Callithrix jacchus: one gene and its partners. The protein of the gene in region 3 purifies or fractionates together with the protein of the main gene of each other region. This does not show direct contact. Links are inferred from orthologs where the notes say so. Each region holds a gene or a part of one and is shown on either strand. Other genes may lie near its edges. The genes, in order: VANGL2, AIM2, SQSTM1, CCNF, IRF3, SOX2 and LLGL1.

Region 1 (3,500 bases), on a different chromosome or scaffold from region 3:
ATCTGTAATCCCAGCTACTGGAGAGGTTGAGGCAGGAGAATCACTTGAACCCAGAAGGCGGAGGTTGCAGTGAGCTGAGATCGCGCCACTGCACTCCAGCCTGGGCAACAGAGCGAGGCTCTATCTCAACAAAATAAACAAAAAGCATACCGATACACACACCAACACCAACAAAGATGACTACACTAACGTTAACTTTGCACAAGGATACATATAGGTTTTAAGGAAATCAAACACACTCAACTGGATGCCTAAAATGTGGGGCTGGAGTGAAAGAAGAAACGGGAGGAAAAGAGAAACAGAATAAAGAACCACAAGGAACCCTATAATGACAACATGTTAGAAGCTGAAAAGAGCAACTAATGCAATTCTCTGCACTTCAAGTCCAAAAACCAAACCGAAACCCCCCTGGCCTAAGAGCAGGAGCAGCCTGAACTGACAGGAGGAAGAAAGTGAGGTCTGCAGCCTCATATGCAGGAACCCAGGAGACGGGGAACGTCAGTCATTTCAAACGGGACTCCGGGGACGCAGGTGTGGATCTGTGTATGTCTGGCATTTCTTTATTCTCTTGCTTCCCCTACATTTCTCAGTAAGTGCCTTTTGGAAAGATCCTTTTATCTCAGGTAACCAAAGGAGAAAGTTTGCTCCTGGTTACAAGCAAGGGAATGGGGAAAGAGTTCTCTATGTGCCAAAAATGGTGGTGGCAGCACAGAAGATTCAATGACCCTGGTCGGGGCACAAGGTAAAGGGGCAGGGGCATCGCTTGTTTCCTTTCCGTGAGGGCCATTTCCAAGACAACTAGAGATAGGCTGGAATGCTGCAGAAATGGAGTTGGTGATCCTTGTTCTACTACAGGGGATGCCAGCCTCCTATGAGAACAGGGTAAGGGCTACCTCTTGCCCTTGAAGCCTGGAGATTATGTGGAAGATGGGGCAGAGGGCAGGGGCATGGTCAAGTCCCGAGGCACTCTGCTCCTCCCTCAGGGAACTCCTGACAGACCGAGACGGGACCCAGCAGAGTCGGCATCAGGTAAGATTCTTCAGGGTTGACCTCAGCCACATGATAATATGAACAGGGAAAGGAAGAAGTGAGGACGGCATTTAAGAATTTACCAGCTGAGGTGGGTGGATCATGAGGTCAAGAGATTGAGACCATCCTGGTCAATATGGTGAAACCCCGTCTCTACTAAAAATACAAAAAATTAGCTGGGCATGGTGGCACGTGCCTGTAATCCCAGCTACCCGGGAGGCTGAGGCAGGAAAATTGCCTGAACCCAGGAGGCGGAGGTTGCAGTGAGCTGAGATCGCGCCATTGCACTCCAGCCTGGGTAACAAGAGCGAAACTCCGTCTCAAAAAAAAAAAAAAAAAAGAATTTACCAACATGTAGGCACTAGAACCTCATGTTTTGAAGGCAACAAAAGCAGCATCTGGTGAGTGCCCTCAAGATCTACTGGCAGGAAGGCTAGTCCAGCCTGAGTCCCTGCTGTTGCAGGTAAAGCTCACATCCCTTTGTTGGGTCCCTACCCCATGATGGTAGGCAGAATTCAAAGATACCTCCCACTCCTACCAGACTCCCATCCCTCATTAGACAACAATCTTAGTACGTTTTGCAAATGTAATTAATGTGCCAAGTCAGTGGCCTCCCAACAAGACTGTCCTGTTGGGCCTGATCTAACCTGAGCTCTTTAAAATCAGAGTTATCTCCAGCTGGTGGCAGAAGTCAGAGACCTGTTTCTGCTGGGAAAAAAAGTGCACTGCCATCATGTAAACTGCCTATGGGGCCATGTGACAAGGAACTGAATATCTCCCACAATAATGAGCTTCAAAGAGAAAGCATAGGCTCAGATGAGAGTCCTCTTGATTTCAGCCTCAGCCAGCCTGCACCTGACCCATGGAACTGGGAGATAATAAATGTGTGCTATTTCACAGCTGCTAAGTTTGTGTTAATCTGTTAGGGCAGCAATGGAAAACAAATACACACCCCCACTCATGTCATCGTTGCTCTATATTTCCAGCAGCTACAGAAGTTCCATAGTCTTCCTCTCCCAGTTCACCCCACAAGCACCTCTCCTCCTCACCTTCTCCCCCTGGGACCCACCTGGCCCTCCTCTTGCGCACCCTTCGCTCATGCTCCGCCTCCTCATAGTAGTACTCATTGTGACTGTTGTCCCGCCTCCGAGCTGCCGCTGCGATCACAGCCCGAGACTGGCCAGTGGAGTTGTTGGTGCTGTTTTCTGCACAGGAACAGGATAGAAGGGATGGTCACATCAGAGTGTGGCCTTTCTTCCCACTCCAGGAGCTCTGGAGACAGCAGCCTGGCATGTCCAGAAGAAGCTGTTCCCACCACCCAGCAACACCTCCCAGTCCCAACCCTCCTGGCCACCTCTGGGAGAGGCCACAGGAAAGCAACAGTGAAGGCACTGGGAGCGCAGGAGTCCTGCGGGTGTTCCTCCCCAGTGCGTGAGGTTCTGCAGCTCCGAGAGCCGAAAGGCTCAGACCAGGGCTGATGAGAGACACAGAGGAGCCAGATTGGGGACACGCCATAGCATAAAGCAACAGCAAGTAGGATGAGCAGCTGAGATCAGCCCCCTAGAGTCAAGGGAAGTGACTGAACAGAAGCGGCTGGAACATAGGCTAAGGAAAGGAAAAAGCAAGGGACAAAGAGAGAGGTGGTAACTTGGAGTCCTGCTTGGGAAGAGACAGGGAAGGGCAGAGGAGCAGGGCTGCTCACCCTCTCCGAGGGAATACACCTTGAAGCCAGACACTTTCTTGGCCAAGACGGACTTGGGCAGGTTGAGGAGGGCAGGGTTGTAGACAGGGAAGTCATGGTAATACTTCTCCAGGATCCACACTGCCACGCGCTGGATGCTGTGGGGGAGACGGCAGGAGGGGGCAGGAGAAGGGACAGACAAGGGGCACAGGGGAAGGGACACATTAGGGCAGGTTGGCGGGGCAGGAGAGGACGCAGGACAGGGACAAGTTGCTTCCAAGAAGGCTGGCTCCAGGCCTGAGGTCTACTTACCAGGCTCCCAAGCCTTTCCCAGGACTGGGCCTCCTAGTCCCTCCCTGCTGTGCCGAAGCCCAGCAGAGAAAGGGCATTGGGTCTGGGTCCCCAGCCATAGGTCCCCTCATTCCCATCCAGCATTCCCCCAAGATTCTCTACAGGACCCAGGACGTGCCGCTGATACTCTGCACGGCCTCAAGGGGTAGCTTGTGTACTGGGAGCTGAAGAATTCTCCTTATCTCTTTCTCTGGGGTTCCCTCCTCTGGCCAGGTCACTTCACAGGCCACTCTCTAAGTGCTCACAAGAAGCTGTGCCTCCCGGAAAGGACTAGAAAAGGGATTCCAAAAAGCCCCTGTTTGTGACCCCCCCCATATCTCTTCCCTTTGGTCCATCCCCCTCTAATATTCCCTACCTCTAAATGCCTGCTCATTCCCAACTCCTAACTCCCAGCTGATCTTGCCCCACCACTGTGAATCTGCCCATGAAGGAGCAAACG
Region 2 (3,500 bases), on a different chromosome or scaffold from region 3:
CTGTCCTAGATCAGAAAAAGTCATCCCACAAGGCTATTTCCCTGAGGCTCAGAGTCATAATACTTTAAATTTCTCACTTATAATAAGTCTCCTCAAGCTAACTCTTTTTTTTTTTTTTTTTTTTTTTGAGACAGAGTTTTACTCTTGTTACCCAGGCTGGAGTGCAATAGCACGATCTCAGCTCACCACAATCTCCGCCTCCTGGGTTCAGGCAATTCTCCTGCCTCAGCCTTCTGAGTAGCTGGGATTACAGGCGCGCAGCACCATGCCCAGCTAATTTTTTGTATTTTTAGTAGAGAAGGAGTTTCACCATGTTGACCAGGATGGTCTCGATCTCTCGACCTCATGATCCACCCGCCTCGGCCTCCCAAAGTGCTGGGATTATAGGCGTGAGCCACCGCGACTGGCCCATAGCTAACTCTTTCTTCTGTTTTCTTCATTTAATCACAGTTCTTTAATCCTGCCTTACATACTGGTTTTTCAGGTCAATTGATCTGGTTTACAACTACACTTATATCACATTCAAAAACAGTCACTTAAAGATGATATGTACAAAGTATAAAAATAACACAGATTGGGAGGCTGAGGCGGGTGGATCACCTGAGGTCAGGAGTTCAAGACCAGCCTGAACAACATGGTGAAACCCCGTCTCTTTTAAATAAATAAATAACACAGAGATAAAAATTATGTGAATGAACTAGTTCTTTTTTTCAGAGGCTACTGGGATAAGAATAAGTTGAAACAGGATTGTGACAGATTTTTGACAATAAAAACAATTTTTGCGTTTTTGTATGAATTTTGGCATGTTAACTCTGCAGCTCTTTAGAACTTTGTATTTTTTTGTCTATATAGAAAGATATTAAAACCATTTCTAAAGTCGCTTTAAGATCAGATGAAAAATATTATTACTAATCAATATGAAATTAGATATGAAGACGTACCTTCCGGACTACAAACAACCCATTCACAATTGTTCCAAGGGGCTGAGTTTGAAGTGTGCTGATCTTCGGGGTTTCCCCAGCTTTTCTGATAATGTTCGGAGGGACATTAACCTTTTGGTCAGATTCAGCATCTAACACACGTGAGGCACTAGTTACTTCTAAGAAACCGCTGTGCCGATAATACCTTGATATGATAATTATTGTCTTTGGAATGAATTTATCTCTTAGCAGTGTATTAAAAACTTTTACAAAGAAGAATTCCTTCTCGGTAGCCACTGTAGCATGAAACATCTCTTGCTTGCCTTCTTGGGTCTCAAACATGAAGGGCTTCATTGCTTTCAGTACCATAACCGGCAAAGGGTCTTTCTGAAACCCTTCTCTGATAGAGGGCTGCTGGGCCACCATCTGTTTCTGCTCAGGCTGAAGACAAGAGAAGAAAGATATCAGCTGTGAGTCTAAAAGATATCAGCTGTGAGTCTATTGAGAGGACCTTACTTCACTCACAGTGCTAAACCTCAGGAAGCCAGCTGAAGATAGGTAGAATCAAGGGGAGCGTTATAGAGGGGGTCGGGAAGAGATCTGAGGCCTAGAACGACCTGGATACAACAGAGAATGCGGACGGAAGATTTCAGCTCCTGTGTTCGGCTAAGACGGCGTAACAGGTTTTGGAGGTAGGATTTCCTGAAACAAAATTCTTGCTTTGCCAATTGCTATGTATAAAGAGCTCATCAGATCTCTGAAATATTGCTGAGGCATGGGGTAAATCTGATAAATTGGATTCCATCTTCCATCGATTCCATTAGGGCATAATGCGTCCTTGTTTCTCTGTCCAAAACGTTCATTTTACTCTAGTATAAAAGTGAGGGAGCTCAGTGACCTGCACAGGGCTCCCCAAATTCCCAGGAAGGCGCTGTACGTAACAAAATGCAGATTATATTTAATATAAGTTAAGGGGGAGACCTAGGCCAGAGATCTTATCAGTGAGTTAAAGGAGATTTAAAAGGAGAATCAATACTACATGTATGGATTTGCCCTTAGAAATAATGAATTATAAACTAAGGTTCACATTTAAAAAATACATCTTATTATTTGAAATCATAAAAAAAAGAAATAATTTAAGTACCTAAAAACTAGATTTGGTTAAATAAGATACGGTATAGTCACAAATAGATTGCTATGCAAATATTAAAAATGCTTTAGAGAAATAATATGATAAACTTATAACTGATTCAATAAAGGGAAAGGTCCTGAAAAGAGAAAGGATAAGTAAGCAGTTAAAGCACATAAACAAACACACCGGAGAGACATTTACCAACATCAATACAGTTTTTTCCTAGATGATACAATTATAGGTAATTTTATTTTCTTTGTGTTTCTTTATTTGTCTGAATTAACAGAGGTAAAATACCTTGTTTGGGGGGAAAATACTACTCTTTAAAAGTAACTTGCCATCTAGAACCAGAGAGAAATACAGGGGAAAACAAACAGAGGCATAAAAAGCCAAGTGTAGGGGTTTCTGAAGGGTGTCTCTGATGTGACCTGAAGCTTGGGCCAATGGAGTTTGGGGGAGTAAGGGTCCCTAATGGGCAGTACGACTGACTGCATTTGGACCAAGGCAGGGAAAGGTCAGCTTCACTGAGGTCCACTGTAAAAGCCCTTCTGTTTGGTTCATGTCTCTTTAGTTGGGTCTTCCAGACTAAACAATGCATATTTTCATGACTGATGATGGAATCACACATTTATACTTGTTTTCCTGAAAAATCAAGATGTTTCTGGGCCAAACGCAGAGGAAATGGCTACTCTAGACAAAGAGATGAAGTATATCGTTTCTGTAGCTCATACAGCTATAAAATGAAGTAACACCTGCTTCATAGGAAATGAAATTGCATGTGTGGTCGGTTCTGTGCTGGGACTCGGATGTTGCCTGCTGTTCCCTCATTCTCACTAAGAACAAGAGTCTCTAGGCAAACTCTCTCACCTAAATGGGGCTGCCTCACCTTGTCCATGCAGCTATATAGAGGACTTTTTTACATTACTTTTAAAAAGCAATTTGTTGTCAAAAACCAAGGGGAAATACAGGGGAAACAGAGGCATGGCAGGCAGAGTGTAAGAGTCTCTGAATTGAATCTCTGATGTGACTGGGGACCTGGGCCTGTGCAAACCACAGACTCCCCCAGATCATGGGAGCCATGAAAGGCATTCTCAGCTCCCGAGCTCCGTGTCAGATAGGCCAAGGCCTCTACTGCAAATACATTGTTCTTGACCTTCTTCTTCTTCTACTCCTTTCGCTTCCTCACAGATACTAATTCTGAAAGTGATCTAGAATAGACTTCCTGTAAACAACTGTCTGTCTCAGAGTTTTCTTCTTGTAGAATTCAAACCATAACCAAGTGTTAATGTGTCCAGGGCCTGGAAGGGATTAGAAGCTCAACAGGTGTTTAATCTGATAAATCAGAGGTAGTTCCTCTTTTTGTGACTCAGATCACTTTTCATACTGTGGCCTTGCTTCCCTTATTTGCATGCTGTGAGATAAAGAACAGAGAACCGTGTGAGAAGTGA
Region 3 (4,165 bases):
AGCGGGAGGACTTTCCTTGTGTCCCCCACCCCATTCAGACCGGGCCTTAGCTGGGGGCTGGGGCAGGAAAGCTGGCCTGGTGGGGCCACGTGGCTCTCAGGTGCCCGGGCTGCTGAGTCATACTTGGCCAGCACCTGTCTGCAGGCCATAGCCTCTGCCAGCATGCCTCTCTCTGTCCCCTGTCCCTGTTTGCAAGGCAGTGGCTCCAGCAGGCCAGAGGGCACTTTCCACTGTCCCCTGCTGGATGCAGGCAGAGGCCTGAGCCCTTTCCACAGGGCTGCTCTGGGCAGGCTGGCAGCCTTGCCCACTTGGAAGTCCTCCTGGAAGGATCAGTCACACCTGTCGACCAGCCCCTGCTGTGCATACACCCACACATCACCTTCATATCTGACTGACCCACCCTGGGATGTTGAATGTTTTTCCAGGTCCTGCAAGCCCTGGCCTGAAATGGCATGAATTGGACACAGCAGATTCTGACCAGCAGGGAGGCTCCATCGAGTGATCACCCCTCCTGCCCCTCTCCTTGGCCCAGTACTGATGGACAGGTCACTCTGGTGGCATAAAATGGTGTTTCTTCCTTCCTAGCTGAGGAGGCTGTTGGATGACCGTCTTGGTTCCCCACAATGCCAGCGGGCCTGAGCCCTTGCAGGGCCATGGACACTGCCTGCTGAATTGAGAAGTCCATGAGTTGTCTCTTGGGCCATAGTGAATGCTTGGCGACCACTCCACTCCTATTAAACTGGGAGCTGCTCTGATGCTCAGGCTAGAGTCAGGTGTCTGTCCCTCAGCCTACTTAGGGGCCCATCACCCAGGATGCTATGGTCTGTAAGCATGTTGCCCCCAACTCACATCCTCGCCCACCCCCCACCCCCACCTGGGGAGGCTGACCATGGCAGGGTTGGAACAAGTTGCTTGTTCTGGTCAGCAATGCCTACTGGGCGGCCTAGCAGCCCCCTGGTATGGGGACTGTGTCCCGCTCCCCCAGCACTGGGTACCCCCAACTGAGGATATTGCTGAGTCACTGCCCGGCCCAAGCCTGGGAGGGGCTAGGGGCGGGACCCCCGCCAGTCCCCTGATCCTAGGTGCAGAGGCCGGAGCCCAGGCCTAGATGCGTGCCAGGGCCGGTCTCTTGGGGTCCTTGGTGCACCCGGGCAGTGAGGAGAGAGGTCAGCAATGAGGGGGCTAAGGAGACCCGGGGCGAGGGGTAGCGGGGAAGGGGACAGTAGTGAAAGGGCCTCGGCAGGGCGGCTCTCGCGCCGCGGCGGCGACGGCGGGGGCCGGGCGGGCGTGACAGACTCCGCCCCTCGTGAGGCGGGGCGGGGCCTCCGTGTTCGCTACAAAAGCCGCTCGTCTGTTGCGCCGGGTACAGCAGGTTTTCCGCCAGCTGACTGGCTGTTATGGCGTCGCTCACGGTGAAAGCCTACCTTCTGGGCAAGGAGGACGCGGCGCGCGAGATCCGCCGCTTCAGCTTCTGCTTCAGCTCCGAGCCTGAGGCAGAAGCCGAGGCCGCAGCTGGTCTGGGGCCCTGCGATCGGCTGCTGAACCGGGTGGCAGCCCTGTTCCCCGCACTGCGGCCTGGCGGCTTCCAGGCGCACTATCGTGGTGAGCTGGCCGGAGAGCGGCGGGGGCTGTGACGCAGGCCGGGTCCGGCCTCCTGCAAAGGGGTGGCTGCCCCCTCCATTCTCGGCGATACTTGGCGGGCCGTGAGGGCGTCTGCTCTGGCTGCTCCCTGGGTGGCGGTGGCCTGCATGGGTTCCCCAGTTCGGCCTTGAGGTGACCAAAGTCGGGCACCGCTGCTCAGCGCCGGCCCTGTGGGACATGGGGCGGTGGGACCCTGCCGGCCGGGGCTCGGGCCCTGCTCGGCTGGGAGCGTCAGACGCCACCCCTCCCCCTCCGAGGTGTTGCGAATTTGGGCAAGGACGCGCCCGGGCGTCCTCTCTGGCTCTCCGCGGGAACGGGGTGGTCAGGCGGGCACTCGGGTTACTGTGACATCTTGCTGCGCCAGGTCGTGGGTTCAGATAATGCCCCGGGGAGCGCCAGCGGATCGGGGGGAGTGACGCGCGTAAACAAGCGCGGTGGTGCGGGCGCCTCGTGAGCGCTGCGACCGCGCCGGGGAGGAGGGCACCGATTGCCAACAGAACGCTCCAGGCCAGGCGGAGTACAGATGTTATCCCACTGGCAAGTGGAGAGAGTGACAAGACGAGAACATTCTTCAGAAGTGTTGGTGTGGTCACAGACACCCAGGTGCTGTTTCCTGCTGCGCTGGTGTGACCGGTGGCTGCTGGGGGTGGGGTTAGGGAGGTGGTTGTGGCCAGGAGGGAGGGAGGTGGCCAAGGCCGGCCCCTGGGAGGGGGCAGTGCTGGGACCTCCCTCTGGAGTGCTGCCAGCCTGCCAGGCCTTCTAGTCTTAAAAAAAAAAAAAAAAATTGTGTTGAGCTGTAGCTGACATAAGGGTTCACCCATTTTGTGTACAAGTCAGTGGTTTTCACCATCTTCATTGGATTGTGGACCATATTCAATCTGAGAACCTTTCATCACCTTATAAACGCCATACCTTTTATCATCACCCTATCCAAATGCCCCCAGAAACCACTAACCTCCTTTCTGTATCTATTCATCTTGCAACCCTGGAAATTTCATGTAAATGGAATCATACAGTGTAGTCTTGCAAGTGGTTCCTTTCACTTAGTGTAATGTGTTCAATGTTGTGACACGTATCAGTACTTCATTTTTTTTCTTTTGGCTGAATAATATTGTATGGACAGGCCACGTTTTGTTTACCTGTTCATTAGCTGATAGACATTTGGGTTGTTTGCATCTTTGGGTGCCACACCTGTTTCCATGGTGGATGGTGAGGTTTGGTCCGCACAGTGGTGCTTTAAAGCCATTTGAGCTCACCTGTATCTGTCACAACTGGAGACTACATACAAATACTTGATTTTTAGCTTTGTTAGGGAAGGAAGCAGGCAGATGCACTCGTCTTCTTTACTCCTAAGCCACCAAGGCCTTTGTGGGGCTGGGCCGCCCCTCAGGAGCAGGTCACAGGCAGGGATCTCCCATTTATGAAGATGGACATGGGCCTGGTCGGATGTGGAATGAGGTGGCATGTTTCTGAAGGGCCAGCTGGCCCAAGGCTAAATAAGTGCAGCAGCTGAAGCCTCTGCTGTCCCTATGCACGGGCCCTCTGTCCCCTGAATGTGGCTGTGGTCCAGGGCCCAGGTTGGAGCACTCACCTTCCAGGAGGTGCCAAAGCGAGGGGATAGTCTTGCCTCTCGCTCCTGCCTCCGTGGCCCAAGTAGGTGTGCTCCAGTGTATAGCCCTGTCAGCGTCCCTTTCATACTGGCCTCAGACCATTCCACAACTTATGTCTAGCTGAGAACCCTTGGGTGCTCACGTGCTGTCTTTTAAACAATCTAGATGAGGACGGGGACTTGGTTGCCTTTTCCAGTGATGAGGAATTGACAATGGCCATGTCCTATGTGAAGGATGACATCTTCCGAATCTACATTAAAGGTAAGGGGCTGCTCTGGGGCTGCCTGAAGCTAGCTTAGCTTGTACTCATCTCCCTGCTGAGTAAAAAATCGGGCTTGATGTTCCACCAAGGAGAAAGGGTCAGGAATTTGAAGACTGTTTAAAACAGGTACATAGGTCAGGCATGGTTGCTCATGCCTGTAATTCCAACACTTTAGGAGGCCGAGGCAGGCAGATCTCCTGAGGTCAGGAGTTTAAGACCAGCCTGGCCAACATGGTGAAACCTTGTCTCTACTAAAAATAGAAAAATTAGCTGGGCATGGTGGTGCACACCTGTAATCCCAGCTACTCAGGATACAGAGACAAGAGAATCACTTAAACCTTGGGGGCAGAGGTTGCAGCGAGCCAAGATCGCACCATTGCACTCCAGCTTGGGTGACAAAGTGAGACTCTGTGTCAAAAAAAAGAGAGACATAATAAATGTTGTGTCTGACCTGAGAAAGAGGAGTCCAAAGAGGAGTCCCCCTAGGGATGGGGTCTGGTGCTATGGTGCGTGGGTGAAGAGCAAGGCCAAAGGTGTGCAGACAGGGTCCCTTGCTGCTGCTCTGCTGCCTGGGCCACATTGCCCAGGTAACAGACACAGGGACTGGGAACCTCCTAGCAGGTTCTTGGTTGCTCTGCTGTCCTCACCTAAG
Region 4 (3,500 bases), on a different chromosome or scaffold from region 3:
CCCCTGACCTCAGGTGATCTACCCTCCTCGGCCTCCCAAACTGCTGGGATTACAGGCTGAGCCACTGTGCCCGGCCTCCTGAAGCCATCTTATGGTTTCCCTGAATCCCAGCCTCCCATGCGGGAGCCCAGATAGTCCTGCCCCAAGGCTGGAGGGAGAAGAGCTGGCTCCCCATGTCGTCGCAGCCCCGGACGTCACCTGCGCTTCCCAGCAGCCCTTGGCAGCGTAGTCCCTGAGTTTTCGGAAGCTGTGGAGACTTCGCCCAGGATCTGACATCTGTCAATGGGAGAAGATCATCGAGCCTTTACACCGCTGTGTCTCGGGAGGGACGGGTACCAAGACACAGAAGGGCCGACGCTAAGCTAACTTCCCACCTCTGCTCTCTCAAATGGCGGGAGTCATTTTGGGGGTTTGCCAAGAATAGCCAAGAATAGCCGACTGTCCAGTGGCTCCTGGAGGCTGAGAGGCTGGGAGCAGCAAGAGCCACCTCCCTTTTGCAGACAGAACCGCATCCAAGGACCAGCATCAACTGTGCCTTTGTCCAGCGTTAACTCCGCCCCACCCAGAGCAGGCTCCACTCACATCTGTCCTCCTGTCGCTTTCCCAGAGGAGGTATGCGCTGCTCAGACATCCCTGACGAGCAGCCTCTTCAAACAGGTCCCGAGCCTGCTGCTGCTTTTCTTCATCCTAGAATAAATCCCAGCAGAGTTCATTCTTCTCTTATTCTTTTCTTTTTTTTTTTTTTTGATACAGTTTTGCTCTTGTGGCACAAGTTGGAGTGCAACGGCCTGATCTTGGATCACTGCAACCTCCGCCTCCCATGTTCAAGCAATTCTCCTGCCTCAGCCTCCTGAGTAGCTGGGATTATAGGCGCCTGCTACCACACCCTGCTAATTTTTGCATTTTTAGTAGAGACAGGGTTTCACCAGGTTGGCCAGGCTGGTCTCAAACTCCTGGCTTCAGGTGGCCACCCACCTTAGCCTCCCAAAGGGCTCGGATTACAGGAATGAGCCACTGCGCCTGGCTATTTTTGTTGCTGTTGAAACAGAGTATCCCTTTTGTCACCCAGGATGAAATGCAGTGGCGCAATCTCGGCTCATTACAACTTCCACTTCCTGGGTTCAAGCAACTCTCATGCCTCAGTCTCCTGAGTAGCTGGAATTACAGGTACCCACCACCATGCCTGGCTAATTTTTGTGTTTTTTTTTAATAGAGATGTGGTTTCACCACATTGGCCAGGCTGGTCTCGAACTCCTGACCTCAGGTGATGCACGCACCTTAGCCTCCCAAAGTGTTGGGATTACAGGCGGGAGCCGCTGCACCCGGCCTCCATACTCGTAAGTTGTAACACACGTTGCCCCGAGCTTTACTAACATGAGTTACTGAAATCAGAGCAGAAATGGCTTCTCTACAGACACCATTCCACACCCAGCGAGGAGCATGAACTCAGAGCTCCAGCCACAGAGGCCCTGCTCTCTTCCTAGAAGGGTTTACATTTGGGCTGGGCCTGCAGGCTCCCTGGTTCGGCTCTGCACCACCAAAGGCCTGCCCTTCTCACCGCTGCCAAAGGAACTGCCCTGAACCACCACAACAGTGGTGGTGGCTCTCGGGGCTTCTCCTCAGTGTCCTTCTCGGATGCATTTGCCATGCCTGTCACTAGAAGCCACCACGTTCCTGCGATTTGCCGCAAAGGGGCTTTACGGATCACGAAGCCCATTAGGACATCGAGAGCAGAGAGGTCCACATGAGCAGAGGGGAGGCCCAGCTCCTGCGATTTCCTCTGCAGTTCTCATCGCCCCCACTCATCCGCCAGCTGGGGCACAGAGCCAGGACCACAGCCTGCTGCCGGCCCAAGTGTGCCACCTGCCTTCCCCAGCTGGGCCTTCCTGGGCAAGGCTTGCCTTTGGTTTTGGGCCTTGGACGCCCCCTGCTGCCGCTTTTCACTGCCAGTCAAACACAGTCCAAGTGTGGAGAACAATGTGACTCACCTCGAACAGACTCAGCACTCTGCCCAAGCAGTGCAGTATGGATGCTTTGTGAGTCTTAAAAAAAAGGAGAAAGAAGTGTGATTTCCAGCAGAGAGAACTGACAGGGGCCGTCCCTCCCCAGTTTGTGTGTCTTTGGGTCCCATGCCCATGGCCCTGCTGCCTGGCCCTCCCTCCCCTGCAGAGGGCCACTCCAAGATTTGAGTCTTGTTTTTTTTTTTCTTTTAGTGGAAACAGGGTCTCGCTCTGTCACCCAGGCTGGAGTACAGTGGTGTAGTCACAGCTCATAGCAACCTCAACCTCCCAGGCTCAAGCAATCCCCCCACCTCTGCCTCCTAAGTAGCTGGGACAACAGGTATGCACCACCACCCTGGCTAACATTTTTGTATTTTTTTTTGTAGAGACGAGGTTTCATCATGTTACCCAGGGTGGTCTTGAACTCCTGGCCACAAGCAATTTTCCAGCCTTGGCCTCCCAAAGTGTTAGATAACAGGCATGAGCCACCACACCCGGCCGGATTTGTGTCTTGGGCTCCAACTGCTGCATACAGCCTCAGCCCCATGTTTCCAGCCGTCAGCAGGTGTGCCCAGAACTCTACAGCCCACCCTGGCTCTCAGGCTTTCTCCTCTCCTGCCAGGTAATTTCAAGATGCTTTCCCTACATATGCACTCTGTTTTCTGCATCTTCACTTCTCTTAGGCACCTGACTTTCCAGGGTCCAGAGCCTACCCTCGGGGTGTTCCTGGGACCCTGCAGGTGGCCTCACAGGTGCTGCTGCTGCTCGCGCCTCGCCCAGACTCACCCTCTGCAGTTGGGACTCTGCCCTGAGGCTCTCGTGAACCACGGCCTTGCAGCAGCTTCCACTCACCGACCACGGAGGGCGGATGAACAGCCAGATGAAGGGCACGGCACCAGCGTTCAGCCGCTCCGTGAGACTGAAGAAGTGAGAGGCCTTCAGGCCATTCACTTCCGCACGGGCCTCATCAGACACAGACACTGCGGGGACAGACAGCACAGGACCCAGGGATGTCTCTTGGGCGCAGAATGTGGAAAGTTCTGCATGGTCTTGGTGGACAGCGTAAAGCCTAAAGCCCACCATAGTGCAGTGTAGCTGGTGTTTCAGGAGGGAAGAGCCCTCCAGGATGGGGGTACCTGCCTCTTCTCCCCCTACTTGGTTAATGTCTAGAACAGAGGGGTCATTGTGATCAAGGCCCCTGCTACACTCCTCCCAGAAGCCTGGATTCTGAAGGTAAGGGGGAGGAGACCCTGCCACGCTTCAGGTCCCATCCTCCCTCCAGCTGGGAACCGCTTCCTGACTCCCTGGTAATGGGTCCAGGGCACGGGTGGGGGCTCTTTTTGGGAAAAGGAGAACATTCTAAAATTAGACAGTGGCAATGGCTGCACGACCCCGTAAGAACCACAGAGTTGCGCACTTTAGATGGGTGAACTATACTGTGTGTGAATTTTATGTCTGGGAACTGCTCTCTGATGGGAGGGTGGAGAGAGGACCTCAGCT
Region 5 (4,001 bases), on a different chromosome or scaffold from region 3:
GCAGGGAAGACATCTTCGAAGGCGGCTCAGGAAGTCTGTTGGCTCTTCTGGGGCAGGGCTTCTGGGGAGGAGGACTTCAGAGAGTGACCCCACCAGAGATCCTCTGTAAGTCACTTTTCTCAACTCACTCCCTCCCCCACTGAGGACCTCTCTCCAAAACCCCAAAGACAGAGAATAGAGTCAGATATAAAGAGAGGAGAGAGACTGAGACCAGGAGCAAGAGTTAGGAGGGGGCCTCAAATCCTGGCCCCTCGGGGAGAAGCACAACTCCTGTTACCTGGGTGAAGTTGCAACAGGAGACCCGGCAGTCTCACCACGCCTGAGGAAGGCAGCTAGGACCCTCAGCGTGTCTTCCCGGAGACCCAGCTCTTCTGAGCCTGCCATGGAGGCACCTATGAGAGAGGGGGCTAGGGACTGAACTCCAAGGATTTATCGAGAAGTGGAGGCTTGAGGACCGGGAGTTGTGAGTCCCAAGGAAGGTGATGAGGGCCCGGACTCCTGGGTCCTTTGGAGAGTGTGGGTCTGGGCGCTTAGACTCTTGAGTCCTCAGACAGAAGAGGGAACAGGACAGACTCATTAATCCAAGGAAAGCTAGGGGGTGGGTGCCCAGATTCGTGGACCTAAAGGAGGAGGGAGCTAGGGTCCTAGATTCCTGAGTCTTAGAGAGAAAGGAACTGGAGCCCCTGACCCTTATGTCTCCCAGGGAGAAGGGGCTTAGCGCCCCAACTCCTGGATTCTGAAAGAGGTATATGCCGAACTACTCAAACTCTTAAAGCATCGGGAACTACCAATCCCAGCAGGCTTTACGGCAAATCTTCTCCTCGGTCCCCGCTTCTTCGCCGCACAGCCTGCTGGGAGGTGTATTTCCAAATCTCCTGCTCCTGGAATATACACTTGGATGTCGGAGAAGCGGGACTGGGTTCTCACTCCTGCATCCCGGCCGCCTCCTCTTCCCTCCACACCCCGACCCTCGGCAACACTCCGCTGACCTGGTCCGGGGCCCCACCGCCGCCACCTCCACTCAACTTGCCGCCTTCTTCACTCAACTCGTACAAAACTTTCTAGGTCAACTTTCCCGCCCCTGCGCACTGGGCCGGGTGGGTAACCGGCCCAACGTAGAAAAGGCGGAACGCTGGCTGCACGCTCAATTTGCATTTGACGCTCCCAGCATGCCTCTGGCCGGAAAGCCGAAAAAGGGCATGGGGGCGGGGACAGCCCGGGCCCTACGGCCTGTCCCTTCGGCTCTGGGTTCTGTCACTCAAAGAATGATAAAGTTGTTTTTATTTCAAGAAGTCGTTGGAAAAGAAAGTCCCAGCGCTCTAGAACTCAGCTGACGGGAAAGCGGGTGTTCAGCCTCGAGTTTGAGAGCTACCCGGAGCCCCAAGACGGGTGGGCTCCAGCTCCCCGCACGCCCCGACCTTCCATCGTAGGTAACGCGGAAGAGCCCGGGAGAGCGTTGGTGGCGTTCGAGAACGAGGAGCGGGAAAGATGATGGGTCTGTACGGAAAGTGGAAAGGCAGGCTGTATAATCTGGGGAAAGTGGAGAAAGGAGGGAGTGGCCGGCGCTGGAGGTCTGTTGCAGAAAAACTAGAAAAAGTAGGGAGGGAAGAGAAAGAGGAGGCGTCTACACTGAGGGAGATCTAGAGAGGGAGGGGTGGACTCCGCAGATGCGGGCAGTTCGCTCTCGAAAGCTGAGGCGTGCTCTGGAGGAGGGAGGCTGGCAGTCGAGGGAGCATTGTGGATGGAGGTTCTGCGTTGGAAGTAGGTAGGGGATCTTCTCTAGGGGGACTGTGGAAGGGGGTCTACACTGGGCTAAGTGCAGGCGGTAGAGGCTTACAAGTGAATCGATTCTGCACTGACATAGCTAGGGAAAGAGATGTTACCCTGAAAGTGGGGTTACTTGCTTTCGATATGGGGAAAGAGGGGGTCTACACTGGCAGAATTGAGGGAGTGGAGGGTCTGTACTGAAGTCGCTGGGGAAGGGTGTGCCATGGATAGGGGAAGGAACCCTAGCTGATTAGGGAGCCTCTCTGGCGGATGGGAGGATGGGAAGAGGAGGTTTCCTGTTTGTACCCCCGAAAACATGGGTGAAGGACCTGTGCCGTAGCCCATGACAGGGAGTTCTGGGCGCGGAAACTCCAGGCCAGGTGGGTCCAGGAGAGGCCGGCCGCGCCCAGGAAATGCCCTGTACGCGCAGGCCGGACCATGGGAACCCCAAAGCCACGGATCCTGCCCTGGCTGGAGTTGCAGCTGAATCTGGGGCAGCTGGAGGGTGTGGCCTGGGTGAATGAGAGCCGCACGCGCTTCCGCATCCCTTGGAAACACGGTCTACGGCATGATGCACAGCAGGAGGATTTCGGAATCTTCCAGGTGCGTGCGACCAGGGACGCTGGAAACCAGGAGCTGCGCGCTGGGCGGGAAAGACTCCGAGAGGCAGGGTTGAGAAGGCGGCGGTAGCGCGCGAGGGGCGGGCTCGTGTCAACGCTGGTGGGTGGGGCCAGAACGGGAGGGGCGGGGCTAGCCGGATCAGCTGACTGATGGGGGCGCCGGGAGGGTCGGAGTTGCCGGTTCCGGGAATAGAACTAGAACTGGGAGAGCCGGGTTAGTACGCAATGAAAATGCATCCTATGGGTTTGGAGCTCTCTAGGGGCCGGGGTTCCTAGTAGTAGGATCCTGGGGGATTGTTCTTGAAACATCAGAGGTGAGACTTGGAGCCCCAAATCTGGGGTTCCTAACCACCGAATTAGTATAAGCCAGACGTGGTAAACAGTGTGAGGGACGAGGTTATCACCGAGGGTGTCCTGAGGCAGGTGGTGCACGGGGTTAGTAGGACTTGAAAGCCTGGCTTAGAAAGAAAAGGTTTTTGGGGGGCGCGGTGGTTCACATAGAATCCCAGTACTTTGGCAAGGCCGAGGCTAGAGGATCGCTTGAGCCCCGGAGTTTGAGACCAGCCTGGGCAACACAGGCCCCGTCTCGTTAAAAACAAAAGAGGTTTCAAAGGCTTTTGAAGAGGCGGGGCGCGGTAACTCACGCCTGTAATCCCAGCACGTTGGGAGGCTGAGGCAGGCAGATCATTCTAGAAAACTAGAGGTGGGGATGGAGGTAGGTGGGATGGGGGGATTTGGGGATGGACCTTGCAGAGTTACAACTTGCCAGGGAAAGAGGGTGGTGTTAGGATGCCGGAGACAGGGTTGGGGCTCCGGGACAGGATCTAGGTCGTCCTCTCTCACTATCCTCACACCACTGTTGCCCCAGGCCTGGGCTGAGGCCACTGGTGCATACGTTCCCGGGAGAGATAAGCCAGACCCGCCAACCTGGAAGAGGAATTTCCGTTCTGCCCTCAACCGCAAAGATGGATTGCGTTTAGCAGATGACCGAAGCAAGGACCCTCACGACCCACATAAGATCTACGAGTTTGTGAACTCAGGTCTGCCAGATCGGGGTCAGTGTGGGAGGCTGGGGTCCCAAGGGTTCCTGGCACCCCTAGCCACTTCAACACCTTTCTCAACAGCAGTTGGGAACTTTGCCCAGCCAGACACATCTCCAGACACCAGTGGCGGAGGCAGTACTTTTGATACCCAGGTAAGAATGTGCCCAACCTTCACGCCCCCACTGTCTGTCCTGTTCCCATGGACTCATCCTCTCCCTGTGGACCAGTGCGCCTCCCTCACCTCGTCTGCCCCTCACCTGAGCCAGTGCTGGCCCTGTCTGTCCCATGCTCCAGTCTCCTCAGGAGAAAATTCAGTCTTCACTTGGCATTGAAGGCACTCAATTTGCATTTGACACGCCTTCCCGGGATTTCCTGTAGATCCTTGATTGGCGGGGGGAGGGGGGGAGTGGGGGGACGGCTGTCTGTCAGCCTCTTGGGAACTGAAAACCTCCCTCCCTCCCCTTGATCCTGCCGCTGTCAGAGCCAGGGGAGCATCCCCTCTGAAATTCTGCCCAGGCCTTGCCTGCAGAAAGCCAGATCCTGGGGTTGGAATGGTAGCATGTGGCATTCA
Region 6 (3,940 bases), on a different chromosome or scaffold from region 3:
TTAGAAAAGGAGGGGGCGGATTTACAATATATGTCTCTAGTTTCTATTTTAGAAATGACAAAATTTTCAATTTTTCCAGTACTTATTATTCATCCAGCCGTTTCCTTTTCGCAGTTAACATTAGCACACGAAGCTGGACTAGTAATACCGAGGATTTTTGGTCTTTTGCTTTGTCGGCTGAGCACAGTAAGATAATTCCCCGAGAAGTTATGTATAATCACAGTGTTAACCAAATAAATGAAAGACTCAAGAATAATTTCAGTGTCCATATTTCAAAAATTTATTTATCTCAAACTGTGCATAATGGAGTAAAAACTTAAGTTGAAAATGTACCTGTTATAAGGATGGTATTAGTTCAAATATATACATGGATTCTCGGCAGACTGATTCAAATAATACAGAGCCGAATCTTTTTAAAATACAGCTACGGAAAATAAAGGGGGAAAACCTTAAAATATCACAATAAATTTACAGAAATATTACAAACCATAAGAAAATATTTCAAACACAGTAATTTCATGTTTCTTTTTTATCTGAACAAAATGGAAAGTTGGGATTGAACAAAAGCTATTATAAATTACCAACGATGTCAACCTGCATGGCCATTTTTGCTTTTAATAGTAAGTTATAAAATTTAGTACAATCTAAAACTTTTGCCCTTTTAAACAAGACCACAGAGATGGTTTGCCAGTACTTATTCTAATTTTTTTCCTTTTGTACAATTTTTAATTCAAATGTCCAAATTTTAATAGTTTTCTTCTCTCCACGTTTGCAACTGTCCTAAATTTCAGCTGCAGAATCAAAATTCAACAAGAAGCCTCTCCTTGAAAAATATTGGCAAATTCTCAGCTTATAAACAATGGACATTTTGATTGCCATGTTTATCTCGATAAATACTGTACAAAAGTTGCTTGCAAATATTAAAACATTTTTTTCGTCGCTTGGAGACTAGCTCTAAATATTATTGGTAAAGACTTTTGCAAACTTCCTGCAAAGCTCCTCCCGTACCACTAGAACTTTTTAAAAGTTTTTCGTAGCTTTCTTTCCTCCAGATCTATACAAGGTCCATTCCCCCGCCCTCCCCACCCCTCCCCCCTGGTTTTCTCTGTACAAAAATAAGTCCCCAAAAAGAAGTCCAGGATCTCTCTCATAAAAGTTTTCTTGTCGGCATCGCGGTTTTTGAGTGAGTGTGGATGGGATCGGTGTTCTCTTTCGCAGCTGTCATTTGCTGTGGGTGATGAGACTCTTCTTTTTTTTCCTTTTTCTTTTCGAGCATACCGGGCTTTCTCCACGCAGTTTCCGACTCTCCTCTCTGCACCCCTCCCCCACTGATTCCCCTCGCTCTTGTCGGAGAATGCCTCCCCCGTCCAGTTCGCGGTCCGGCCCTCACATGTGCGAGAGCGGCAGTGTGCCGTTGATGGCCGTGCCGGGCACCGGGCCGCTCTGGTAGTGCTGGGACATGTGCAGTCTGCTGGGCGCGGCGGGCTCCGGCACCTCCGCGCCGGGGAGGTACATGCTGATCATGTCCCGGAGGTCCCCGGCCTGGCAGGGCGCCCTGGAGTGCGAGGAAGAGGTCACCACCGGCGGGCTGGAGCTCGCCTCCGACTTGACCACCGAGCCCATGGAGCCCAGCGCCATGCCGGGCGTGCCCTGCTGCGAGTAGGACATGCTGTAGGTGGGCGAGCCGTTCATGTAGGTCTGCGAGCTGGTCATGGAGTTGTACTGCAGCGCGCTCACGTCGTAGCGGTGCATGGGCTGCATCTGCGCCGCGCCGTGCGCGTTGAGGCCCGGGTGCTGCGGGTAGCCCAGCTGCTCCTGCATCATGCTGTAGCTGCCGTTGCTCCAGCCGTTCATGTGCGCGTAGCTGTCCATGCGCTGGTTCACGCCCGCGCCCAGGCCGGCGCCCACCCCGACCCCGCCGGCCATGCCGTTGCCGCCGGGCGCCAGCAGCCCGCCGGGCAGCGTGTACTTATCCTTCTTCATGAGCGTCTTGGTTTTCCGCCGGGGCCGGTACTTGTAATCCGGGTGCTCCTTCATGTGCAGCGCGCGCAGCCGCTTGGCCTCGTCGATGAACGGCCGCTTCTCCGTCTCGGACAGCAGCTTCCACTCGGCGCCCAGGCGCTTGCTGATCTCCGAGTTGTGCATCTTGGGGTTCTCCTGGGCCATCTTGCGCCGCTGCCCGCGGGACCACACCATGAAGGCGTTCATGGGCCGCTTGACGCGGTCGGGGCTGTTCTTCTGGTTGCCACCCGCCGCCGCCGCCGCCGCGGTGGGGTTGCCGCCGCCGCCCCCCGAAGTCTGCTGCGGGCCCGGCGGCTTCAGCTCCGTCTCCATCATGTTGTACATGCGGGCGCTGTGCGCGGGCCCGGCCCGCCGGCGGCCGCCGACCCTCCTCGGCCCGGCCGGGACTTTGGGGGGCCCGCGGGCGGGGGGGCGGAGGAGGGGAGGCGGGCGGGGGTGCCGGGAGCGCGGGACTCCGCAAGGAGAATCAGGCGAGGAACAATTTGGGGGCAAAAAAGCGAGAGAGGCAGAGGCTGGAATCAGGATCAAAAAAAAAAAAAAAAAAAACCGCGCGTTCCCTCCTCCTCCGGCCGGAGCCGCCGCCGCCGAGGATTGTTATGGTTATTTTTTGGAAAGGCTTAAGCCCGGGGCTCAAACTTCTCTCCTTTCTTTCTCCTCTTCTTTCTCTCCGTCCCCGTCTTAAAGAGGCAGCAAACTACTTTCCCCCTTTTGCAAACACTCTCTTCTCTGCCTTGACAACTCCTGATACTTTTTTGAACAAGTTAATAGACAACCGTCCATGTGACGGGGGCTGTCAGGGAATAAATGGGTTTCCCGCGACCAATCAGCGCGCGGCGGCTCCTCCACTCGGGCCCGGCCTCGCCGCCGGGTTTTGCATGAAAGGGGGCGGGGCCTCGCGGGCCGCCGGCGCGGGGGCGGGGGCGGGGGCGGGGGAGGGGAGAGGGGGAGGGGAGGGGATGGGAGGGGCGGCGGGGAGGGAGGCGGCTCCGGGCCGGCCTGCCAGCCACTGAGAAACCTTTGTATCCCCCTCGCAGCAACAGGTCACGCCACACGCCTTTTCGAAGGAAGTGGGTAAACAGCACCAAGACTACGTGGGTTTTTTCTTTTTTAAACTTAACACTGATTTACTTTTTGGTGCAGGGTGCTGAAGTGAGGATGGGACGCGGGGGGCAGCTAAGGTGCGGGGGTGGGGCAGGGCTCAGTGGGTGGCTCGGGGCGACGGTCCAGCTCGTGTTTCTGGAAACCGCCAGTGCAAGGCTGGGTGTGTCATTGTCCCGCCGCCCATTCGCGCAGTGCCCCCAGCTCCTGCCCCTCTGCGGCTCCCACGCCGCGCGCTTCCTCTCCCCTCTTCCCCCGCAGGTGCCGGCGTTCCCGCACGCCCTTCAGACAGGGTCTCCACTAGAAGTTAGGAGACTCGAACCTCGGTCCTCAAAGCCTTCCTTGCTTCCACCTAACGTGCTCTGTTCTTAAACATCAATCCTGGTCGGACCACGAGGCCGACTCCAGAGCTGGGAACCCGCAGGCCTTGGGAAGCTGCCATCTCTCTGTCCCACTCAGCTCTGGCCCAGGAAACCGCAGCTCGCCTTCTTACTCCCAGCCCCAACTCCCACTGGCCTGTCTCCAGTCAACCGGAGCAAAGGGGATGCTCCTACGCTCTCCCCCCCGTTCCCCATTCCCACCCCAGGCCTCCCCCAAAGAGGGGTTTCAGTCGTGCGGGTTTCAAATGGGGGCTGGGGAAAGAGAGAGAGACAAACGGAAGGGCGCTCCAAAGTGCAGGATGGGGGAGGGTAACTTCAACTTCCTGGCATCCCACGGCACTGTGCGGAGGTGGCATTTGGGCCCCAGTCACAAACTCCCTCCCACGCAGGGTTCCCTGGGCGCCAGCAGAACCAGCCCTGGCATTTCCCTCGTGGGTTTC
Region 7 (3,500 bases), on a different chromosome or scaffold from region 3:
GAGAGTCCTGACTCCCTCCCTTAGGGCACCGTGGGGCCAGGGCCTGGACCCATTTCATGCCCCTCCTCACCAGATCCCTTGCTGTGGGCTAGATCAGGGCTTCCACCAAGGCTCTGTGGGGCCAGCAGGATGCTTGGGGTCCCGTTAGCCTGGCTCAGCTTGGTTGACTCTCGGAGTCTGTAAATGCAGAGATAGGCATGTGGGGACCATAGGTGGGTGCCTTGAGGCTGGCACATTAGATCTCTGCACTCCCACTCCCAAGCCCAGGGAAGGCAGATCTTGGGGGTGGGATGAGAACTCGCCCTGGTCACAGGTCCCCCAGACCAGGGGCTGCCTCCATCCACACACCTGGCCTGGGTGGCATCATGGGGCCAGTTAATGTCCAGAGAGCAGAGCGGTTCTGTGATGTTCCGGGCACTTAGGGAGAAGCGTTCAAATTCTGATGGGGATATCAGGTAAAAGCCTGGGTGGACAGAAGAATGAGGACTGCAGTTAGGAGATGCCACCAACCACAGCTCCTCCGTGGGCAGGGCCTGTGCCCACCTGGAAGGCCCTTCCCAAGCAGCACTGGCCCTGCTCAGCTTGCTTGCCTAAGGAAGGCCTCTTTGGCCTCAGCCCCACCTCACCCTGGCCGTGGCGCGTGAAGATACACGAGGCGATGCCGCTGATGTCCTCCTTCCGGATGCAGGAGTAATGCACCTGCGGTCTCAGGCCAGGCACCGAGAAGACGTGGACATCGCCCAGGTTGGTGAGGCAGGCCAGGCAGGTCTCAGCATAGTCCTCGCAGGCCACACTGGCAAACGTGGCCAATGCCACCTTGCGCACACGACAGCCCTCATGGGCCGTGAGCTTGAACTTGGTCTTGGCGCTCACCTTGGGCAGTGTGAAAACCTGACAGCAGGTGGCCAGTGAGCACAGAGCCTGGCCCTGTCCTCATCTCCAGGGCCCCTCACCCTCATGGCTGCAGACCCACCAGCCCCCACCACAAAGCCCAGCCTCATTGCCACGTGGCCTCCCCTGCCTGTACACCTGGCTGGCCCTGCTGGCACTGCCCCACTAAACTCCAGACTTCACGTTGTACTCCAGAAACCTCCCAGGCCCTCAATCACAGAGTGCCTAGAGTTCTTTCAAGGCAGCATCCCTGGGGACTGGGCTCAGGGTTCTTGGCAGAGTACAGGAGCCTTGCAGGGGACAGTGAGATAGGACAGTCTTAGAGGAACTCAGCAGGCTGAGGGGGCATCAGAGTTCTTTGGGAGAAATTTTCTGCTGACTAGGGGTGTTTTGCTGGGGTGCAAGGGTCTTAGGGTCCCAGCAGTGGGGGATACAGGCAAGCAGGGGCTCTAGAGGATCCAATGGTAGGGTCCTGGAGAGGAGTCCCCCACAGCCCACAGTGGCTCACCTTGAACTGCTCCTCAGATGCGATGAGCACAGCATGACCACCCTGCATGTCAGGTGCCTGCGCCAGGTCCCGTGAGGCCTCATAGGGCTCGGGCAGTGGGCGGCCACGCCCATCCAACACGGCGATGGCCACCACAGGCGCCCGGTGCATCAGCTGCACTTCCTTGCCCAGCACGGCCTCCACTGCTTGCTCAGGCCGCTTTTCACCACCCACTGCTGCTGCCGGCACCTCTAGCGCATAGGCGAACACAGAGCCCGAGTTGGTGCCAGCCCACATGGTAGGCCCATGGTGGGCCCCTGCAGAAAACGAGCTCGTGAGGAGGGTGCTCCCTGCGGGCCAGGCATCTCCCCTGTAGTCTCCTCACAGACTGCAGGCACTTCCCGGCCTCTCTTGTACCTCTCCTTCCTAACTGTGACACCCTGGGACTCAGGGCTGGTTCCTTCCTGTCCCATGCCTCCCTGATGACCTCCAGCTTTGAGGCCTGAGATCCCAGCTCTAGGCTGCTAACTGCAGTCAGAGGCCAGGATGCAGCCCTCCTGCAGAGGCCCCAACAGCTAGAGCGCATCTGCACAGGATGCCAATGGGCACCCAAACCAGACCCTGAACCCTCTAGCTCCATCCCACTAGCTTCAACCCCCACATCAGTAAATGCAGCTCCATCCTAGCATCACTCACCCCCAAGCCCTACAAGCCCGACTCCTCTCTCCAGCCCTGCATCCCCTTGCTAGTCCTGTCAACAGACTGGAACCAGGCCCTCATGCACCCCACACGTGCGTCTTGTCTCACCCCTGCTTCACCCCGCCTTCAGTGTGTTCCCTACATGGCAGCCAGAGCCACCGAGCCTGGGGACACCTAGGACGCCCATCCACCGACCCTACTCTGCCTGTGTGAACTGAACCTCTGGGGGATGAGCTTTAGTGGAGAATCAGAGCCAAGCCCCGCAGAAGCCAGGGCAGACTTGGAAGCTCACCCACCTGCACCCTGATGACCTGATGAATCCTGGGGCAGTAAGTAAACATGCACAACAGGAGCCCCAGGCGGCCACGAACATGACCCTCCTTGGGATGGTGGAACAAGTTAAAAACCCCAGGCTGTCCTCTTCTGGGTCTTTGTGGTCAGAAACAACAAAAGCCAAAGAAACCCCCACCTCCAGCTCCATCCACCACATCCAGACAGTGGGAAAATCCACTGCACAAAGACCCTCGACAAATAAATGACATCAGAAAGCAGAGCTCGACCAAGCAGATGACACTCAGGAATTCACGTTGGTTCTACAGGGCATGATGTGAACAGTGGCTGTCAGTGACATCTGTCAGGCCCATGCTGAAGTACTCGTGTCTGGGTTTTCGTTTAAAATACCCCAGCAAGATAAACAGTAAAGAGTATGGGGGAGGGGGACGGCTTCTGTAGAGGCACATAACTGGTGGCAGGCAGGCAAGGTATGTGGGATAACTTTGCACCACTCTATTTTTGTGTATGTTTGAAATTCTCCCATTGTACAAAGTCAATGACTCAGCACATCCAGGACCTAGTCAAGAGTTCCCAGGCCACCAAGAGTCCAAGCCAGGTCCTCAGCTCTGGTTAGTACCAGCACCTCCCTGAGCCACACTCCTCGACCCCCACCGGCTCCATTCCAGCCAAGTGGCTGGGCAGCACCCACACATATCCCCGCCTCAGGGCCTGGACAAGGGCCAGTGCCCCTCACTGTCATACTCCAGGCCTCAACCTCCCTTCTCCTGGCTTAGATCTGAGAGGCTCACCCAGCTCACAACAACCCCTTACCATCCATCTCCCCCAGGAGGTCTGTGGGTGACCAGGCAACAAGTGGAACAAGTTAAAAGCCCGAGGCTGTCCTCTTCTGGGTCTTTGTAGTCAGAAAAAAAACAAAAAGCCAAAGAACCCCCACCTCCAGGTCCATCTGCCACATCCAGACAGTGGGAAAATCCACTGCACTCCCCTGGGGGAGCTGGATGGTAACGGTTTTTTTTCTGAGATGGTCTCGCTCTGTCATCCAGGTTGGAGTGCTGTGGAGTGATCTCGGCTCACTGCAACCTCCACCTCCCAGTTCAAGCAATTCTCCTGCCTCAACCTCCCAAGTAGC

What was found.
Region 1: the proteins of SQSTM1 (region 3) and VANGL2 purify together in Homo sapiens (affinity purification with western blotting; 3 studies listed by BioGRID, with this or other methods). This does not show direct contact. The link is inferred for Callithrix jacchus from reciprocal best matches to the Homo sapiens genes SQSTM1 and VANGL2.
Region 2: the proteins of SQSTM1 (region 3) and AIM2 purify together in Homo sapiens (affinity purification with western blotting; 3 studies listed by BioGRID and IntAct, with this or other methods). This does not show direct contact. The link is inferred for Callithrix jacchus from reciprocal best matches to the Homo sapiens genes SQSTM1 and AIM2.
Region 4: the proteins of SQSTM1 (region 3) and CCNF purify together in Homo sapiens (affinity purification with western blotting; 3 studies listed by BioGRID). This does not show direct contact. The link is inferred for Callithrix jacchus from reciprocal best matches to the Homo sapiens genes SQSTM1 and CCNF.
Region 5: the proteins of SQSTM1 (region 3) and IRF3 purify together in Homo sapiens (affinity purification with western blotting; 4 studies listed by BioGRID). This does not show direct contact. The link is inferred for Callithrix jacchus from reciprocal best matches to the Homo sapiens genes SQSTM1 and IRF3.
Region 6: the proteins of SQSTM1 (region 3) and SOX2 purify together in Homo sapiens (affinity purification with western blotting; 3 studies listed by BioGRID, with this or other methods). This does not show direct contact. The link is inferred for Callithrix jacchus from reciprocal best matches to the Homo sapiens genes SQSTM1 and SOX2.
Region 7: the proteins of SQSTM1 (region 3) and LLGL1 purify together in Homo sapiens (affinity purification with mass spectrometry; 3 studies listed by BioGRID and IntAct, with this or other methods). This does not show direct contact. The link is inferred for Callithrix jacchus from reciprocal best matches to the Homo sapiens genes SQSTM1 and LLGL1.

What each region holds. Positions count from the first base shown.
Region 1 is NC_133519.1:20,363,647-20,367,146, reverse strand, and holds part of VANGL2 (vang-like protein 2), read right to left. Parts: intron 2,869-3,500; coding exon 2,732-2,868; intron 2,235-2,731; coding exon 2,099-2,234; intron 1-2,098. UniProt on the Homo sapiens protein: Involved in the control of early morphogenesis and patterning of both axial midline structures and the development of neural plate. Plays a role in the regulation of planar cell polarity, particularly in the orientation of stereociliary bundles in the cochlea.
Region 2 is NC_133519.1:19,049,005-19,052,504, forward strand, and holds part of AIM2 (interferon-inducible protein AIM2), read right to left. Parts: intron 1,362-3,500; coding exon 942-1,361; intron 1-941. UniProt on the Homo sapiens protein: Sensor component of the AIM2 inflammasome, which mediates inflammasome activation in response to the presence of double-stranded DNA (dsDNA) in the cytosol, leading to subsequent pyroptosis.
Region 3 is NC_133503.1:71,820,503-71,824,667, reverse strand, and holds the start of SQSTM1 (sequestosome-1), read left to right. Parts: upstream 1-1,365; 5' UTR 1,366-1,397; coding exon 1,398-1,602; exon of another isoform or gene 1,603-2,244; intron 2,245-3,416; coding exon 3,417-3,512; intron 3,513-4,165. UniProt on the Homo sapiens protein: Molecular adapter required for selective macroautophagy (aggrephagy) by acting as a bridge between polyubiquitinated proteins and autophagosomes.
Region 4 is NC_133513.1:4,368,402-4,371,901, forward strand, and holds part of CCNF (cyclin-F), read right to left. Parts: intron 2,981-3,500; coding exon 2,787-2,980; intron 2,043-2,786; coding exon 1,989-2,042; intron 688-1,988; coding exon 583-687; intron 277-582; coding exon 199-276; intron 1-198. UniProt on the Homo sapiens protein: Substrate recognition component of a SCF (SKP1-CUL1-F-box protein) E3 ubiquitin-protein ligase complex which mediates the ubiquitination and subsequent proteasomal degradation of target proteins.
Region 5 is NC_133523.1:43,428,673-43,432,673, reverse strand, and holds the start of IRF3 (interferon regulatory factor 3), read left to right. Parts: upstream 1-1,201; 5' UTR 1,202-1,488; coding exon of another isoform or gene 1,489-1,495; 5' UTR 1,496-1,667; coding exon 1,668-1,761; intron 1,762-2,197; coding exon 2,198-2,370; intron 2,371-2,519; exon of another isoform or gene 2,520-2,601; intron 2,602-3,255; coding exon 3,256-3,427; intron 3,428-3,511; coding exon 3,512-3,582; intron 3,583-4,001. Other genes in the region: BCL2L12 (bcl-2-like protein 12), read right to left, coding at 1-61, 278-384.
Region 6 is NC_133516.1:9,953,814-9,957,753, reverse strand, and holds SOX2 (transcription factor SOX-2), read right to left. Parts: upstream 2,801-3,940; 5' UTR 2,347-2,800; coding exon 1,387-2,346; 3' UTR 257-1,386; downstream 1-256. UniProt on the Homo sapiens protein: Transcription factor that forms a trimeric complex with OCT4 on DNA and controls the expression of a number of genes involved in embryonic development such as YES1, FGF4, UTF1 and ZFP206. Binds to the proximal enhancer region of NANOG.
Region 7 is NC_133506.1:82,670,684-82,674,183, reverse strand, and holds part of LLGL1 (lethal(2) giant larvae protein homolog 1), read right to left. Parts: intron 1,696-3,500; coding exon 1,400-1,695; intron 892-1,399; coding exon 627-891; intron 464-626; coding exon 349-463; intron 178-348; coding exon 71-177; intron 1-70. UniProt on the Homo sapiens protein: Cortical cytoskeleton protein found in a complex involved in maintaining cell polarity and epithelial integrity. Involved in the regulation of mitotic spindle orientation, proliferation, differentiation and tissue organization of neuroepithelial cells.